Linked DNA regions of Schizosaccharomyces pombe. Changing the gene in region 1 together with any one later gene gives a genetic interaction. Each region holds a gene or a part of one and is shown on either strand. Other genes may lie near its edges. The genes, in order: gpd3, par2, ark1 and cwf21.

Region 1 (4,286 bases):
GGGTACATGTGACTAGCAATGCGGTATCAAAAAACCAAAGGACAAAATACAAAAAACAGGATTAGCTGTTATCCAGAAAAGAATCAAATGCAAGCATGAAATTTTTTGAATAATTTTCTGAAGCACAAACAGCTCTAAGTATCAAACATTAAGAGTTGCGAGAACCGCCTAAATGGAACACTCGCTTTCATCATCATACTTGATGGTCTGAGATTGATCTGGAAAGTGGAGTGAACGAACACTAAGAATGAAAATGCTAAATTTAAATTGCTATCTATTAATATATAATTTTTCTTATCGTTTGACTTACACTTCCATTCTAGAAACTTGCAAATAGGGGCAGTAAAGATAGGCAGCAGAGGCCCTCAAAAGGACTGAAAAATTATTTACTTCACCCAAAAAAGCGTGGGCCAAGTTTATGGAAACATCTTAGCGAATATCTATCATCAAGACGAAAACAATTATCTCAAATGCAAACGGTAATAGAATGCTAACAAGCAACTATGATAACTATATAATGCTTTATAAATCAGTCTACCTTTTTTACCTCCAATAAACTACCACATTTCAAATCAAAATTTTCATACACCACATACTTTACGGATTTTTTACACATTAAAAACAAGTGAAGAAAAAACAATTCATTTAAAATTATATCTTAATCTATTTCGTAGAAAGGTCGTCAGCTATAGAGATCGCCCTAGGAGCGCAATCAAAATGATAACGTGGAATAAAAGAGGAAAATCTCATACATGTCTATCATTATCGTAGCAAACCCCAGAAAAGGAAAAGGGGGAAAACAAGCATAAGAATAAAAAACCAAAAGTTCGCACATATGTAAGACCCCCCAAAACCGAACGCATGTTCAGTTGAATAGCTTGGAGTTTAACAACGGCTGATTAGAGAGATATAGATTGACGACGGAATAAATCGAAAGAAGCAATCTAATCCTTGGAAGCAGTGTAGGCAACCAAGTCAACAACACGGTGGGAGTAACCCCATTCGTTATCGTACCAAGAGACGAGCTTGACGAATTGAGGAGAAAGTTGGATACCGGCAGAGGCATCGAAGATGGAGGAGTGGTTGTCACCACAGAAGTCGGTGGAGACAACAGAGTCCTCGGTGTAACCCAACACACCCTTCATGGGACCCTCAGAGGCAGCCTTGATAGCAGCCTTGATGTCCTCGTAGTTGGTAGGCTTGGCCAACTTGACGGTCAAGTCAACAACGGAAACATCGGGGGTAGGGACACGGAAAGCCATACCGGTAAGCTTACCGTTAAGAGCGGGAATAACCTTACCGACGGCCTTGGCGGCACCAGTGGAGGAGGGGATGATGTTGGCGCTGGCGCCACGACCACCACGCCAGTCCTTCTTAGAGGGACCGTCAACGGTCTTTTGGGTGGCAGTGGTAGCGTGAACAGTGGTCATGAGACCCTCTTCAATACCGAAGGTGTCGTTGATGACCTTGGCAAGGGGAGCCAAACAGTTGGTGGTGCAAGAGGCGTTGGAGATAACCTTCTCGGAGGGGTTGAACTTCTCCAAGTTAACACCGACGACGAACATGGGAGCATCCTTGGAAGGAGCAGAGATGATGACACGCTTGGCACCACCCTTCAAGTGAGCAGAGGCAGTCTCCTTGGTAGTGAAGACACCAGTGGACTCAATAACGTACTCAGCACCAGAGGCAGACCACTTGATGTTGGCGGGGTCACGCTCGTTGTGGACATCGATGGAGTGACCGTCGATGACAAGCTTGCCACCCTTGGTCTCAACGGAGCCCTCAAAGCGACCGTGGGTAGAGTCGTACTTGAACATATATGCCATGTAGTCAAGATCGATGAAAGGATCGTTGACAGCGACAACTTGGATCTTGCCAGTGAGGATGGCGTTACGGAGGACGATACGGCCAATACGACCGAAACCGTTGATACCAACTTTAGGAATTGCCATTGTTATCTGAAAAGAGTTAGTAAGAAGAAGAGATCAAAGAGGAGAGAAAAAGGCAAAAAGAAGCGAGAGAGGGAAGAAAGCGAAGAGAAGAAGAAGAAGAAACGATGAGCGTCATTAAAAGAAAAGATATCATTATTGAGAGAAGAATAGAAAAGAAAGTATACTAAAAACAGCAGCTTTGTCGCTTTCGGCAAGTCTATTTTAATTTCTGACCAAACTGCCGTCAAGCGAAAAATAAAGCCTTCTTTACCGAAAGAAACGGAAACTAACGAATCTTATCACGACTTCGTTGTACAATTTCACCATACTGGATATGACATGTTTTCGTCATGTCAAGTAAAATCAGAGAGCCTCTTCTCTTGGCAATCTCACTGACCATTTTCATTTCAATTCATCGCTCAAAATCCATCTTTTTCAACTAAAAGAGAATATCAAAAGAAAATATCCCTTCCTTTTCCTCAATCTATTTTTCCCTCTTGGCAGGTGTTTGACACATGTCACATGTCTCACCAAGCCAATGCTTTGCCAATGCCACAGCGCATCACATACCTAATTAATTCGATTGCTATTTCTCAAAACCAAACAAGTACTATTGCTGATTTCTTGATACTACAAAGAAGCAGACTGGCCTACCACTCCTATTTATATTGTATGTGTTTACGCTAGAGTTGTCATGCCAACGACGGTATCGTAAGCGGCGATTTCCGTGTTCGGTACTTGGCAGATCGGATAATGAAATTAGCGGCCTTCTAGATAACTTCCCATGCGAATATTTTTGGCTCATAATCATACAACAATCGACGCATTGCGTTGACCTTTCCCTCGCCTCGCTTGACAGGAACGAGAGAGGCAAGGATGGAATGGCATGGAATGGATGAGTTGGGATGGCGGTGGAAAAGAAAAAGAAATGTAAACAATGAGTGTAGAGGAAAGAAGAAGAGAAGAGAATAGCATAGCATAGCATAGCATAGTAATCAAGAGGACAAGTGGGAGAAATGAGACAAGTGGTAAATCCAAGTCAACTGTGAAATTTCGAATGCAATTGGATTCAATCCATTTCTATTGATTCTATAAAAATGTTCATTTACTTCACTATTCATCGACTCACTTCACTAATAGTCATCGAGTATATCTGCTGTGTGTGTCAGTCTCGTCCCTTCCATCATCCATCAATCCGCCCTTGGAATGGCGTTTCCAATGCCTAGATGGAATGGAATGTTTAGAGGGTTGGCCCAGTTAGCTGTTGTTAGGCTGACGATTCTTGCATTGAATTGCATGATTTTGTTTGACCGTGCTAACAGGGCTATTAGCAAGGCTCATGGCATCCCAGCGGCTCCTCGGGAATAACGAGGTGCAAAGTCTCGTTAACATCATCTGTTTGTGAGGGAGGATGGAGGAGGGTAGGAGGGTAGGAGGGTAGCGAAAAGGTAGGAAGGGAGCGGGTTAGACGTGGAACATGAAGGAGAAGACATAGAATAACAAGGAGAAGATATAGAACAATTGTTTACAGTGCACAGTTTGGAAAAGAGATTCAGTTGGAAAAGGAAAATCGTTGATGTTGAGATTGTTATTGTATAAAGTTTTTGCTTTCTATTGACATCTCTCATTTACCTACTACCACTTTCCACTCCTTTTTCTCTCTCTCTCTCCCCCCCTACTTTATCGAGTTCAACAATACTCTGCTGTCCGACTATACTGAACTACGACGCTTTGCACTATGTTCCTCTGCGCTTGACTGCCCAGGACGTTCCTTCGGTTAATCGTAAGCTGTTTCTTCGGAAAAAATTGATCGGCAGTTGGGACAATTTGAGTTTCCGGGGCGGTTACAAGGTCTTGTGATGGTTGGCGGATTCGGATTGAAAGAACCCTAATTCACCTTCTAGAGAAACCTTATGTGAATGAGCTGACGAATCAACCATCGACGAGGATCCTTTCAAGGTCCGGGATGCGCTCATCCTCAAGTCCATACTGGTTCCGAGAGTTTCTATTGCGTCACTTTTTATGTAGGCGAAATTAATTTTGGCGGGCCACCGTCCGATAAGAAAGGAAAAGGAACCGAAGGAAGCAGGAGGAAGCAGCTGAAACAGCGCGAGACTCACATACAGAGAGTGAGGAATAACACAGTAATGCAACGTAAAAACAAAGCCATCAAAAAAGAACTTTGCTCTATGGAAACACACTGTAAGCAATGGAAACCCAGAATTGTTGTCTTCATAAAGGTCAATGAGTAACACAAAAAAATATGAGTTTTTAATCAATTGACTACTTCAATCCATTCTTTCTTCATTCAATTCCCATTCCCATTCCCTTCAAACGGCCGAACTAGTTTCTTCC
Region 2 (5,318 bases), on another chromosome or scaffold:
AAGACTCCGTCGATCTTTCGAAGTTTTCTCTTCAAAAGCATTCTTTCATTGTAATTTACAAGACTGCATTTTATTCCTTTTATTTGCCTGTCGCATTGGCAATGCATCTCGCTGGTGTAGCTACTCCTGAGAACTTGAAATGCGCCCAAGACATCCTTATTATCCTTGGTAAATACTTCCAAGTTCAAGATGATTATTTAGATTGCTATGGTGATCCTACGGTAACTGGTAAAATTGGGACTGATATTTTAGACAACAAATGTTCTTGGATTATCAATCTTGCTCTCGCAAAGTGTACTCCTGAACAACGTGTTATTTTGGACGACAATTATGGACGTAAAGATAGCGAAAGCGAAAAGAGAGTTAAAGCTGTTTTTGAGGAACTCAATATCCGTGGTGAATTCGAGAACTATGAGGAATCAGAAGTTTCTGAAATCAAAAAGCTAATTGATGGAGTTGATGAATCAACCGGTTTGAAAAAATCCATATTTACCACTTTCTTAGGAAAGATTTACAAAAGAAATAAGTAAATTTCTTGTTCTATGTTTTTATTCGACTCAAATTGGCAATTGCGCTGTAGATACTTTTTAGAGAATACATCCATTGTTGACAATACCAACTTTTAATATTGAATCATTGTATTGGTAAAGGACCTGCAAAATACTACATAACTTATATCATTAAAAATCCAGTTCTCATGAGGCGTATTAAAATATGTAACAAAAGGTGGTAATACGACTCCAAAATGAATCTTGACACTAGTATATAAAATGCGGTGTATAAAAGATAGCAAAAACAAAATGAATCCCAATTGGCGTTTACGCGTATAAACAGGGAATTTCTAAAGATTACAAATTAAATAAACTTTATTCTCTGCCGCGACCAAATAGTTGTAACATATATAAACATATTCCTTACGAAGGAATTATCTTAAATAATCAGTGGGTTTGTTTTCCGCCGCTAATGCCTCAATCTGACACCATTGCTGTTTTCTAATAATCATAACTTCTTCTTGCTTTATAATGGCCTGTTTATAATCCTCAACAAGTCCATTAAAAAAGTCCGCATCCATATCGACAAAAATTTGTAAAACATTACAAGCAATAGCTTGTATAGTGCTATTCCAATGCTCATTAGCAGTTTTGTAAAGAGAAGGATATATTATAGGGAGAAGGGTTACTACGTTTTGGCTGACAAGACTTGTGAAGTACTCATTGCTCCACAGACATAAGGCACGTTCGGCGACCTGGAAATGCATACTAGATATTGAGCGAGCTAGTTGCTGAAATAAAGGGGACATTATATTAACAAATTCGGAAGGCTCCAAAACTTCAAAGATATCTTCAATTTCATTCAAAAACAGTAATTCTTTAAAGCTGTTTATTCGTGGCCAGTACTTAAGAATGCCAGTCAAGACTGCCTTCGTTAAAGAAGGATCTTTATCGATAAACTGAACAATGCAATACGTAAGTTGGGGATGGTATAAAAAAACAGATTTAGTTTGATGTAAAGGAATAAGCACTTTGGACAAAAATATTTTATGTTCTTCTTTTAAAGGTACAGCAAATCCATTAATAATACTAATAAGTTAGTTTGTAAATCAATTTAGGAACTATAACCATTAATGAAACATACCTTCCAAGTATCTCCAGTAGTTCAGCGATTCCATGAAATTTTTCTCGTTCATAAATGAATTGCAAAAAAACATTATTCATAGACTTTCTAATGTATGACCTAAGGTTCAGAAATTTTCCGTAAATCCTATGTAATGTTGTTTTCAGAAGTTCGCGCTCACGCGGGTCTTCTGTGTCAAATAGTGCTAGCAAGCGATTAAAAAACCTACGATCAACGAGCGATTTTGCTTTACTGGCTCTAAAGTCAGGAGATTCTAGGAACTTAATAAATAATAAATACACCTCTTCCAAGTGAGGCCACGCTGGCTCCAAAAAAGGCTCATCGTCTAAAGCAAACATATCTGATGAATAATCATTAAGAGCAGGTGATATAGGCCGAAATACATTGAGGGAAAACTATAGTGATTAGATTTTTACAGTAATAAAAAGCAGAGGAGTAAACATACTGTATTGACAACATAAGGAAAAAGCGATGCGGAAGAAATACCGCGGTTTTCAGACACATAATCTATCATTTGTAATAAGGCTTCTCTTTTTATTTCTTTGCTAGCCAAATCGGAAGATGGATCATTAAAATCGAAAATAATATTGCATTGTTCAAGCTTCTTTATAAACAGTTCTTCACGTTCAGAGGTATGAACATCTAATTATATTAGCACAAGAATAAAAAAAAGTACATTATTAAAATAAGATATAAGAATCTTACTAAACGTACCATCAAATGAAGGCAACCGAACTAATGTTCTTTTCTCAGATACTTGAAATTGAGAGGAGTGTTCGCGTCGAGGTACTGGTCTAAGACTATGCGGAATGTCAACATTCTCAGCACCTGCTAAAAATTTATTTAAGGGAGTTGGCTGTGAAACTAAATAAGGAGGAGTGGATTGTGGGACAGATAAAAATGAGGCAGAAGATATGGAATCATTAGGAAATTCGTCTATGTTAGACGATACAGAATCCTACAAGTAAGTTAGTATGAAAATAATCATTTTGGTAGAAAATATTAAACTAACCGACGTATACTTACATTTTTTGGTTCTGGATAATTAGGTGGGAAATGGTTGGCGTCTTTAACTTTAGAAGTTTCAATTACGGGCAAAAACGTAGAGTAATCAGAATCCTCATGTCCAGATGCTAGAACCGTCGTATGTATTTTTTTATCAGAATTTTCATGTTTTTCATTATTTGAGTTGGCATGATGATTTCGTTTGTGCTTTAAAGTATCTTTTAGGAAATGACTCTTAAGTTTTTTAAGCTCGTGTTTTGAAGAATGGTGAGTGTCTGTGTGCTTCACGTCGTCAGTTTCCACGTAAGACCCATTTTTAGAGATATAGTGGCTTTTTGAATGACCATTTTTATGTGACCCTTGTTCATCCTTCAACGAAAGTGCTTTTACAAATTTACTCCTTAATCCTTTCATTAAAAGGCAAATGAGATGATTTCCTTGCTCAATTGCAAGTTATAAAGATAGCGAATAACCAAATTTAAAAAACGAATGATTCCTAGGATTGGGACCGAATGTAATTTCGAAACTTAAATGAATGCACCTATTACTGAATATGTAAACGTTGTCTTTCTTCAAAAGAACGTCTGTTAATAAATTTGTACACAATGATGAGTTAGAAAAGGGTAAATTTATGTGGTGGGTAAATAAATGATTTGTTCCTTTCAAGTACTCCGTAAATATGTCTCGGCAAGTCAAAGAGTTAACGGCAACAACCTCGGTAACAGAATTCTGAGCCCCTTTATAAGATGGGTATATAAGCTAAACACCCTAGGGAATAGTTAAGAGGGTTAACCTTGAAACTTCCTGTAATGACAACTTTACTATGAGTTATGTTTGGCAAATGAAGCAAAACGGGGCGAGTGGCTCGAATGTTATGGGACGCTACCGAAGGCTGGTAGTATGAAATAACGTACTTGGGAAATTGGCTGGTACTGTGAATTAACGGATCGGCAAAAATCTTGTGTTATGATGTTACTGTATTGTTGTACGATGTCCGAGGTTTGGAACAACATTATTTTAGCTGCCAAAAAATTAAAATGCTTTTGAAGCAATGATATTGATGTGTATCAATTAATTTTTCATTTGAGGAATAAGTTATCCAGATTATTAATTAAATTACTTTAAAAGCAAATATATATAAAGTCTTTGCCCTACTTTTTCCAGTGTTTTATAGCATACCATATTAGGCATATATCTTATGAATAGTCTAAAAATTTCTGACAATGAATATGCACTCATTGAGCATCCGGGCTTTGCTAATAACAAGGATGCATTTTTTCAGACATTAGGCGGTGTTCAATCAATTCAAAAGGTAAATTGCTAAAAAAGTATAGGAATGACCGGCTTACATCTTTAAGCTTCCCCTTTTATAAAACATGAATTTGATAATCTTTTTTGACCTAATACTAACAATTTCTAGGCATGTCAAACTTCATTTCAAAACCCAAAACAAGCTCTGTTGGAGTTGAATCTAAGGCCTAAAGATAAATACCATCATCCAGTACAAGCTCGAGTGCAATCCAGAAATGACCTATTAGTAACGATTAAAAAAATGGACAACTCTGTGCAAAATGTCAGTAGAATTCGTCAAGTTTTCTTATTCAGAGATATGGCTGATTTCCAGTATAGTACTCAAAATTCACCATTCGTTCAAAAATTAGATTCCACTCTGCGAGTGCTTGACTATAACGCCATTAATAAGTTTTCCATCGATCTAACTCCGGTACAAAGAAAACATGTCGACATGCCTCCTCCTCCTGTTTTCTCTCAGACAAGTCTACCCATGTCTTATAACTTCTTGCAAAATCCACTAGTAGGTCGAGTTCGGCTACCTAATGGGAAAACTACAATAGTCAATCTAAAAGGTCAATGCAGAGTTTGGATTATCACTACAAATATGGGGGTTGAAAGTGTACCTACATGTAGACACTCAAAATTAGGTGAGCCTTCGAAGACAATTCAGGAAGTTATAGAAGCTTTAAAACCTCTTTTTGAAAAACGACCCGTTTGGACGAGAAGAGCCTTATTAAATCATCTAGACCCGTCATATACTCACTATTTGAAATTTGCTCTTCCTTACCTTTCTTATTTATGGACTTCAGGTCCATTTAGAGATACATATACGCGGTTTGGATACGATCCTAGAAAAGATTCTAATGCAGCTGCTTACCAAGCTTTGTTCTTTAAACTCAAGCTAAATGGAAAACATAAAGGGACTAAAACTCACGTGTTTGATGGCAAGACTTTGTTTCCCACTAATCGTGTTTATCAAGTGTGCGATATCGTAGATCCCACAATTGCACCACTACTGAAAGATACTCAGTTACGTTCTGAATGTCATCGGGACACAGGATGGTATAGAAGCGGTCGTTACTATAAGGTTAGAGATCTTATGCGTGAAAAACTCTTTGCGCTGATCGAAGGAGAAATGCCTTCTGAAGTCGCGGTGAATATGATTTTAAACGCCGAAGAGGTAGAGGAATCTGACAGATATTCGAATTTTGATGAACAGGATAATACAGATTTAAATGATACTGTTAGAGGTTTGAATACTTCAGCAACAGATGATCGGATAAATGATTTAATGAGGAATTTAATGAAGAGAAGTCAAGAACATGAAGGCTTTGAGGATTTAGAGGAAATTGATGATGACTACGATGATATATTTGGTGATTGAA
Region 3 (3,984 bases), on another chromosome or scaffold:
TGCCCATGAAATGATACACATGTTTGACGACCACAGGTTTGAAGTCGATTGGAACAATTTGAGACATCAGGCTTGTTCAGAAATTCGTGCTAGTAGTATGAGTGGTGAGTGTCGCTGGACCAAAGAACTTCGTTTTGGTAACATTAAAACTTTTCGGAAGCATCATCAAGAATGCGTCAAACGACGAGCTACTATCTCCGTACAAGGTAACCCGAATTGTAAAAGCAAAGAGCAAGCAGAAGCAATCGTTGAAGAAGTGTTCAATTCCTGTTTCAACGATTTCAGGCCTTTTGAAAAAAGTACGTTCGCTGTAGTTTTGTTCATTCATTTTTTTCTTCGTACTAACTATTCATTCTTTCGTCTAGTCTATTGAAATACCAGTTTACAAAAGTCAGATAGTTATTATGTCAACTCCCTTCCCCTCCCATTTTATAATATCCCGTACAGCATTTACGTTGGCTTTTAAAAAATATCGAAGCATACTTCTCACTTGTTATGCAACTTATTATGTGCTTGGCGTACTTTATCTTTATACATATTGTAACAGTTTTTTTGGAAGTTATTATTAGCTTGGCTAAAGTGATGATAAATTTTTAAATAGTTTTTATTAGGAAAATGAATGTCTTCTAAGTGATTTCGAAAAGAAAATCTGGAAAACGATTAGTTTATGGTGGTGATCCTCTATTAAATGAGTGTGTTATATTACATATAATTAAACCTCCATAACCCCCAAAGATCAAAAAAGTTCTGAAGGAATATAGTGAGCTGCGCGATTAAAAAGAGCGCTGAAACAAAAAGAAAGTAGTAATGCAAAAATGTAGTGAGAAGAAGGAAAAATTAAATAAAAAGTACCAAGATGGCGGTTAGGAAGATTCAGAACTTTTGCGAGTCCATGAATCTTTATATTTTACAATCCAAGGGTGCCTCATAACTTGTTCCAAACTCATTCTTTTTTCAGGATTATGCTGTAATAGACGAGAAATAAGATCCCGTGCATCAGGAGGAACAAAGCTTGGAATTTTTAAGTCAACTTTGGCGATACGCTTATACGTAGCTGAATGACCAGACATGTCCTCAAAAGGCGGTGCTCCCACCAAAAACTCATAAGTTAAGACACCCAACGACCAGAGATCAACTTTTTCGGTATGCTCTTTTCCCTCCACCATTTCAGGTGGTAAGTAATCTAATGTACCACATAAAGTGGTACGACGGTTAGAAGGTGCATGGACACTCCAACCAAAGTCAGAAAGCTTGATTTCTCCATCAATTCCTAATAAAATGTTCTCAGGTTTGATATCACGGTGTATTACATGCTTCTTATGCAAGTAGGATAAGGCGTTAGCCATTTGGAAGATATATTTAGACGCAACTTCTTCTGAGAATCGTTTTGCACGACGCAAGTGTTGATACAACTCACCCCTGCCAGCAAACTCTAAAATCAAATAAATCCTTTTTTCATCATGAAAGTGCCCATATAGCCGTAAAATGTTTTTATGGCGAAGATTTGATTGAATCTCAATTTCTCGTCGAACTTGCTTTTCTATCTTTGACTGGACAAGTTCAGACTTATGCAATGTTTTGAGAGCCACAATAAACCCGGTCTTCTTCTCTTTAGCTAGATATACCCTTCCAAACTTTCCTTTCCCTAAGGGTTTTCCAATTTCAAACATTCCAATATGAAATTCTCGCCATTGAGGACCAGCTGATGAAGGTACTCCAGCAATTGGCTCTTCTATCTTACGAAGGGAAGAATTGAACTTGCTATTTGAAGTCCGTTTGTTTTCCTTCCCATTTGCTAGACTAACATTATTTACTTGTCGTTGGTTTGATACTGCAAGTCGTAAAAGCTGTTGTCTCCCAGGATTAGCTGTGGTTGATGGAGTTGACACAGAAAGGCAATTCAAAGAATCTGCCAACTTTGAATCTGACATTATTTCGTAAAAAAACGCTGATGTTGGCTTTTGACAAGTTCGTCCAGAAGTAGGAGCGTTGTTGTTTACATTTTGAGGTAACACCATGTTTACTGAGTCTTAACACAGCCTGCTATTATCTTCCTTTCTTTCAAACTAAGAAGGAGGCTCTGATTCCCGTTGTTATTTATGAATACTCAAAGGGTGTTTCAAAGATTATTTACATGGAAATTATGAACGAATTTATTTAGCATACGAACCCACTTCGATTCTACAAATGTTATTAAAAAAAACGACATGTATCGTTCTCAACAAAATAAATAAAAGGAAAACAAACAGAATATTCTATATCATCCCAATACCACAGGCTTAAAAGTATATTTAGTATCTGTTTTTTATTCTTTTCAATGTGTCCACTGTTTGTTTACCGAATAACGATATACAGTGAACTATTCAATACTAGTTATAGAATACTTACAATATTAACGCTTCAGAAGGAGACAGTGCTAACTAACAAGAAAAGAAAAGAATTCAGTAAGTAGAGTAACACCAAAAGAAAAGGACCGAAAAGTGAATTAACAATTGTAGTTGATAATAAATTATCGTATTTCTCAATCAATTTAGAAAAGTACACGATAAAAAATCTCCGTCAGGGGGAATCGAACCCCCGCCGCATCGGTGAGAGCGATGAATCCTAGCCACTGGACCATGACGGATTATATAATTCTGCGATTGTTTTAGCATTAATTATCAGCTTTTTCATTCTTGATTAAGATTTCTCATAAAAAAAAAGAACTCTTTAGTAACGAGTTATATGCATAGTAATGTGAAAGTCAAAACACCGTTTGTTGGATATTTATTTCTAAACTGATTTAAGCTGCAGTCAAGTCCATTGCTGAGCAGATACAGTTTACAGAAATTAACGAGGCTTGGTTCAAACTATTGATATATTTAACCAATGCTGCATGACTGTTCATCACGCTAAAGGTAGAAAGACGTTACTATTCTGGCACTCAATGAGTCGAAACAATTGTTATACATGCATTTTCGTTATATTCTATGACACTCTTAACAGACTGTTTCTACATCTTGAAATTCTCACTATATAATGTTAACATTTATTACAGAGGAATACTACAAATAGTGATTAGCATTATACTCGCTATGCTACATGTCACTGTTTTATGAACTAGCAAGTTGGAGCTCCGTCCTGCTGTTTCATTTCCATTTGGTTCTAATTGTGTAAGTGTCTTTACAATTGTCGCCTATAAATTCGTTTCCGAGTTGGGCTCGCATTTTTTGACCTTCTTTTCATAGTAAAGATAAGATAGCGTTACAGTTGACGGTTCTCTCTATAAATGATCGAGAGCTCTGCTTGATTTGACATCTCTCATTGTCGTTAAATTCTTCAGTTTGCATTTTAAGACTGAATAGTTTACAGAATAAAAGGATATTTTCACTCTTTTTAAATTTTTAAAAAACTACGACAATGAGCGATAACCTGGTGCTTCCTACCTATGATGATGTTGCTTCAGCTAGTGAGCGAATTAAGAAATTCGCCAACAAAACCCCAGTACTCACGTCGAGCACAGTAAATAAAGAGTTTGTGGCAGAAGTGTTTTTTAAATGTGAAAATTTCCAAAAAATGGGTGCTTTCAAATTTCGCGGTGCCCTTAATGCTCTTTCTCAACTCAATGAAGCTCAACGTAAAGCTGGTGTTTTGACGTTTTCTTCTGGTAATCATGCTCAGGCCATTGCACTGTCGGCAAAGATCTTGGGAATTCCAGCAAAAATCATTATGCCACTCGATGCACCCGAAGCCAAGGTCGCTGCCACGAAAGGCTATGGTGGTCAAGTAATCATGTATGATAGATACAAAGATGATAGAGAAAAGATGGCCAAAGAAATTTCTGAAAGAGAAGGTCTTACCATTATCCCTCCTTACGATCACCCCCATGTACTTGCTGGTCAAGGAACCGCAGCTAAGGAACTGTTTGAAGAGGTTGGCCCTCTTGATGCACTTTTTGTTTGTCTCGGAGGCGGTGGCTTGCTTTCTGGATCAGCACTTGCTGCT
Region 4 (4,469 bases), on another chromosome or scaffold:
TGACCAATGCTGATAATGTTTAGAAGAGGCTAACTTTGCTCCGTTTGAGACGTTAAAGTGAAATACGAGCTCACTGTTCCTACCCATTGATGCTGCCAATTCGTATAATATGCTATATGAACCTACATCTAGTCAATTGCTTTGTGAACAAAGCTTGGTATATTGGCGATAGTAACAAACAAGCTAGTCGAAAATTTTTAACTAGTTTTTAATTCAGATTTCGATAGAGTAATCGCGTTAAATATATTTACCTGTCCAATAAAAAATTTCGATGAAAAAATGTTTTTTTTCTTTTCAATTATCTACAGAAAACTAATTAATTAATGCTTTGCGACTTAGCAAGAAGTTGTAATACGTGTTTAATGTACTGTAGTATCTAGGAAATTGAAAGTTATATGAAACAATAGATATTTATTTTAAAAAAGTTAAAGCGATTGGAAATCAAGATTTGAATGTATGATTAATTTTGTTTAGAAAAAAAAATGGGTTTTCTCTCAATGTCGCAGTGTCATCCTTGTGCAGGGGCCATGCTCTAAACAACGAGTTAGTATGACTCGAACCTTGGTAAATATTGTTACTTACAATCTTCTCTGTATCGTTTCAATTTGACCAAAGTGATCCGAAGATCATCAGAAAATAAAAATTGTATTATTTATAATTAAACTTATATTATAATTTTTTTTATAAATTGGTTTTATTATATAATTAATATTGCTTTAAAGCAAGTTCATTTTGTAAAATATATATAATAAACATTATTGGTATAAAAGCTCTGAGATTTACAGTATGCAGGAAAACAAAGCCGCCAAGAGCTACTTTGACTAAAATCGCGTGAATAATCTCGAAAATCTTTATTAAAAAGATTCTTTTATGCTTAATTAATGAATTTAAAATACAAATGTAAAAGCGTAATTGTAAATTTAAAATTGCTTCATTATCCCTCCGTGAAAAAGAAAAATATCAAATGATGTTTAAATCGTGCAACTTAACAGCCTTAATATAAAGTCGATAGTATTTTTTCTTTGAAGAATAATATTTTTTATATCATTGAACAGTCGTGTGCTTCATGGGATTTGACTAACGTGTATTGCTAACCAAATATTCATATTAATCCAACGATTGTTGATGACCCGAATAATTATCCAATATTAATAAACAATACATGCTTGCATGAATTGCCTATTATATTATTGTTTTAACTGGCCTAACTCTTTGGGCCTCATACAATTTCGCCACCCTCAGGAGAGGAATCCCTGTCCACAACAGGAATTGACTCATTCTTCGTATAGGAGGGTGAATTGCTTCTTTCTCTCCTTCTATGATAAGAATACCTTTCCCGTTCATCGTGTCTATTATAATCTCTTCTGGGTAATTCAGAACGCCTTGAGTAACTTTCATTACTACTCCGTCGTCTTTCTAATTCATCGTAGGAGGAATACGAATCGTAATGTCTTCTTCTATTTTCATTGTAATTGTCCACATGCCTTTTTGAATTTAATGATTTCCTCTCGGAATAACGCGGGTAATCATAATAATCATCGTCAACTGATGATCTCAAATCGTCTCTTTCTTCTAATCGCCCATCATCGTCATTTTTCGAGTGAAATCCTCTTGTTTCTTTTCTTTTCTGAGGTTGAAGAATGGATTCAAAATTTTTTCCTTTTTCAGTAGATTTTTGTAATTGCAATTCTTTAAGTAACTGTTCTCGATATTTTTGTACTAAAATTTCTACATCAGCTTCATCTAAAGATTTAGTTTTCGATTGTGATTGCTCATCTTTTATAATTGCTTTAGGTGGCTTCGGGTTTTCAGTCCCAAAATTTGTATTGGAATCAGATGCCGCTGCATCAGTGCTGTGTTGGGAACTGACCTCCTCCAACAACTGCTCTCTGTACAACAACAACTTCGACTCAATTTGTCGACGGCATTCATGCTCGCTTATTGAAGGATCTTGAACCCGTTTTTCCAGAGCTTTTGCATTTCGATTTGACTGTAGATTTGTATTTTTGTCATATTTTTTTACGTGAGACAGATTCCGCATTACGTATCCATTTGTTCCTGATCCTCTTGGAGTGGGTAATCCAATTCCATTATACGACTTTAATTGTTAGCAAAGGACTCAATTTTGGTGTCTTCTTCATTAAAGAAAGCTTTTTATGCATCTCTTACCATCTTGCTTTATTTCCCGTGAAGTCGTTCGATTTTTGCTTTTGCTCAAAAATTAGAAAAACTGAGTTTATATAGGTTCGTCGAACAGCTAGTCTAACAAAGGAATCGAGCGAACAAATTTTACCGGTAGGACACTGATAAATTCGCGTTACTTTTTACGTGATATGAGCAACTAGCGATTTACTAATTGAAACAGATAAAATTTTATCCCTATTCGTTGACCGGTATTGAAAAATAATTGATATCTCTCACCTTTCACGAATAGCTAATTTTCAGATTTACTAGTTTTTGAGTTGTCATCGCTTGACTTCTGACATTATGAATGTATATGTACAACGAGATGACGGTAAGTTACTTTAAACAAAATTTACCACTCCTTTAAATTGTATTTGCAAGTTGATATTATCAGCTCGTTATTTAAAGTTTCGATTTGTTATGCTTGTTTCGATGCAAAAATTTTGGGATGGCATATAAATATTTAATACTTGTTCTAACATTGGCATGGTACAGTTGGTTTAGGTCAAATACATCGATTTCGAATTTTTGTGCAGAGTGGGGGCAATTTGCATTCGGCAACGTCTTCTACAACTGTGCCCCCCACTGTGAACCTCAATTCAGTGACTAAGAAAGAGAGTGGTAGCATCGAGGATAGAGCAGGTTCAGGTGGGATGACAATCTCTAGTGGGGAGAATATCAGCAAGCAAATCTCAGAGAATAATAGTAGCACGAATCCGAAGCATGCAAATTCAGAATCCTCACCTCTTCTTTCCAGCGATTTTTCATCTTCTTCAAAAGATTATCATAAAGTTGGTGCGTTTACAGATAATACCAATGCAATCAACATACCTGAACAAACAAGAGGTGTCTCTCATACCTCTTCTTCTCCTTCTGTAGGTACTTCATTCTCTTCTATTAATCTTCGTGAAGTAAAAAATCCCTTGGCAGGAAGCGACTCTACAGCTCCCTTCATAAATTCGACTAACTCGGTACTTTGGATTCGTGTCAGGAATAGAGAAGCACGTTTCCGCCAGGCAGCCTATCTTCAAGGTCCATTTACATTATGCGTTAGCGTTTGGAATGACCAATTTTTTGATGAAAAAAATTCTTTATTAAACTTTGATCCTCAGGTACAGCCCTCTACTAGTTTTTGGGTCTGTGTACCTTATTCATGTTTTTCCAATCAGCAGCCTATTTACATTGAAATTGCAAGTCAGGCGATTTTTAAAGATAGATCTATTAACTTTGAGCTTGCTATATCGCAATCTCAACATTCCATTCGAGCCATGTCAGCTGCTGATATCGATACTCTTCATGCATTCCCTGCTCTACACGTTGAACATCAAACTCCGGAAAATTTATGGCGTCTTCCGTATTCTTCATTTCATTCAAAGAATTCACATTTGGTGGTGCTAACTCATGGAATGCATTCTAATGTTGGTGCTGATATGGAGTATTTAAAAGAAAAACTAATAGAATCATCAAAATCTGTTAAGGAACTAGTAGTTGTTCGAGGATTTACCGGTAACTACTGTCAGACTGAGAAAGGGGTTCGCTGGCTGGGTAAACGACTTGGTGAATGGCTGTTGGATATTACGGGCTGGGGAAGTGCATCTTTTCCTCGATATTCCCATATATCAGTTGTCGCCCACTCACTTGGTGGATTGGTTCAAACATATGCTGTTGGTTATGTACATGCAAAAACGCACGGTGCCTTTTTTCAGGCTATTCACCCTGTGTTTTTTGTAACTTTGGCAACTCCTTGGCTCGGTGTTGCTGGTGAACATCCTTCTTATATTGGTAAGGCTTTGTCCTATGGTATCATTGGTAAGACAGGACAAGACTTATCTTTAACTCCACTGAATCACTCCATTGAATCAAGACCTTTCCTTGTTTTGATGTCTGATCCTTCCACGCCTTTCTTTCAAGCTGTTTCGTTTTTTGAAAAAAGAATATTATTTGCAAATACTACCAATGACTATATCGTCCCTTTTGGAACTAGCGCAATGGAAGTTAGTTCTTTGGGTAAGGTAGAGGAAGCTGAGGGTTCAGATAAGGTTATGCCTACGCATATGGAAAATGGCATTTCACCAACACTAAAAGAAAATGAGCAAACAGTTCAAAGTGTCGGAGATAATGCAAAGAAAATCCATGCTTCTTCAGAAGAATCTGGATCTTCATTTTCTAAAGCTCTTAAATCCTTTGTAGGATTGTTCAGTTATTCGGCATCCAAAACTACAGATACTGAAATTCCATTAGTAAAAAATGAGGATGAAAATGCTAGGAAGCCTACTGAACCCAAT

Evidence for each region.
Region 2: mutations in gpd3 (region 1) and par2 together harm fitness less than expected from each alone (positive genetic interaction), as found in Schizosaccharomyces pombe (one large-scale study listed by BioGRID).
Region 3: mutations in gpd3 (region 1) and ark1 together harm fitness more than expected from each alone (negative genetic interaction), as found in Schizosaccharomyces pombe (one large-scale study listed by BioGRID).
Region 4: mutations in gpd3 (region 1) and cwf21 together harm fitness more than expected from each alone (negative genetic interaction), as found in Schizosaccharomyces pombe (one large-scale study listed by BioGRID).

The regions. Positions count from the first base shown.
Region 1 is NC_003423.3:576,397-580,682, reverse strand, and holds gpd3 (glyceraldehyde 3-phosphate dehydrogenase Gpd3), read right to left. Parts: upstream 2,567-4,286; 5' UTR 2,502-2,566; intron 1,959-2,501; 5' UTR 1,953-1,958; coding exon 945-1,952; 3' UTR 627-944; downstream 1-626.
Region 2 is NC_003424.3:1,333,664-1,338,981, reverse strand, and holds par2 (serine/threonine protein phosphatase PP2A regulatory subunit B-56 Par2), read right to left. Parts: upstream 3,480-5,318; 5' UTR 3,055-3,479; coding exon 2,662-3,054; intron 2,594-2,661; coding exon 2,350-2,593; intron 2,278-2,349; coding exon 2,081-2,277; intron 2,031-2,080; coding exon 1,636-2,030; intron 1,581-1,635; coding exon 926-1,580; 3' UTR 580-925; downstream 1-579. Other genes in the region: geranyltranstransferase Fps1, read left to right, coding at 1-530; transcription factor TFIIIC subunit Sfc1, read left to right, coding at 3,839-3,952, 4,061-5,317. UniProt on the Schizosaccharomyces pombe protein: The B regulatory subunit might modulate substrate selectivity and catalytic activity, and might also direct the localization of the catalytic enzyme to a particular subcellular compartment. Has a role in cell shape control and septum formation.
Region 3 is NC_003421.2:139,609-143,592, reverse strand, and holds ark1 (Aurora-B kinase Ark1), read right to left. Parts: upstream 1,964-3,984; 5' UTR 1,932-1,963; coding exon 864-1,931; 3' UTR 555-863; downstream 1-554. Other genes in the region: peptidase Atp23, read left to right, coding at 1-299, 366-373; serine racemase Sry1, read left to right, coding at 3,400-3,984. UniProt on the Schizosaccharomyces pombe protein: Component of the chromosomal passenger complex (CPC), a complex that acts as a key regulator of chromosome segregation and cytokinesis.
Region 4 is NC_003424.3:2,561,792-2,566,260, forward strand, and holds cwf21 (protein Cwf21), read right to left. Parts: upstream 2,460-4,469; 5' UTR 2,173-2,459; coding exon 2,170-2,172; exon of another isoform or gene 2,099-2,169; coding exon 1,220-2,098; 3' UTR 686-1,219; downstream 1-685. Other genes in the region: rog1 (lipase), read left to right, coding at 2,488-2,515, 2,680-4,469. UniProt on the Schizosaccharomyces pombe protein: Involved in pre-mRNA splicing. May function at or prior to the first catalytic step of splicing at the catalytic center of the spliceosome. May do so by stabilizing the catalytic center or the position of the RNA substrate.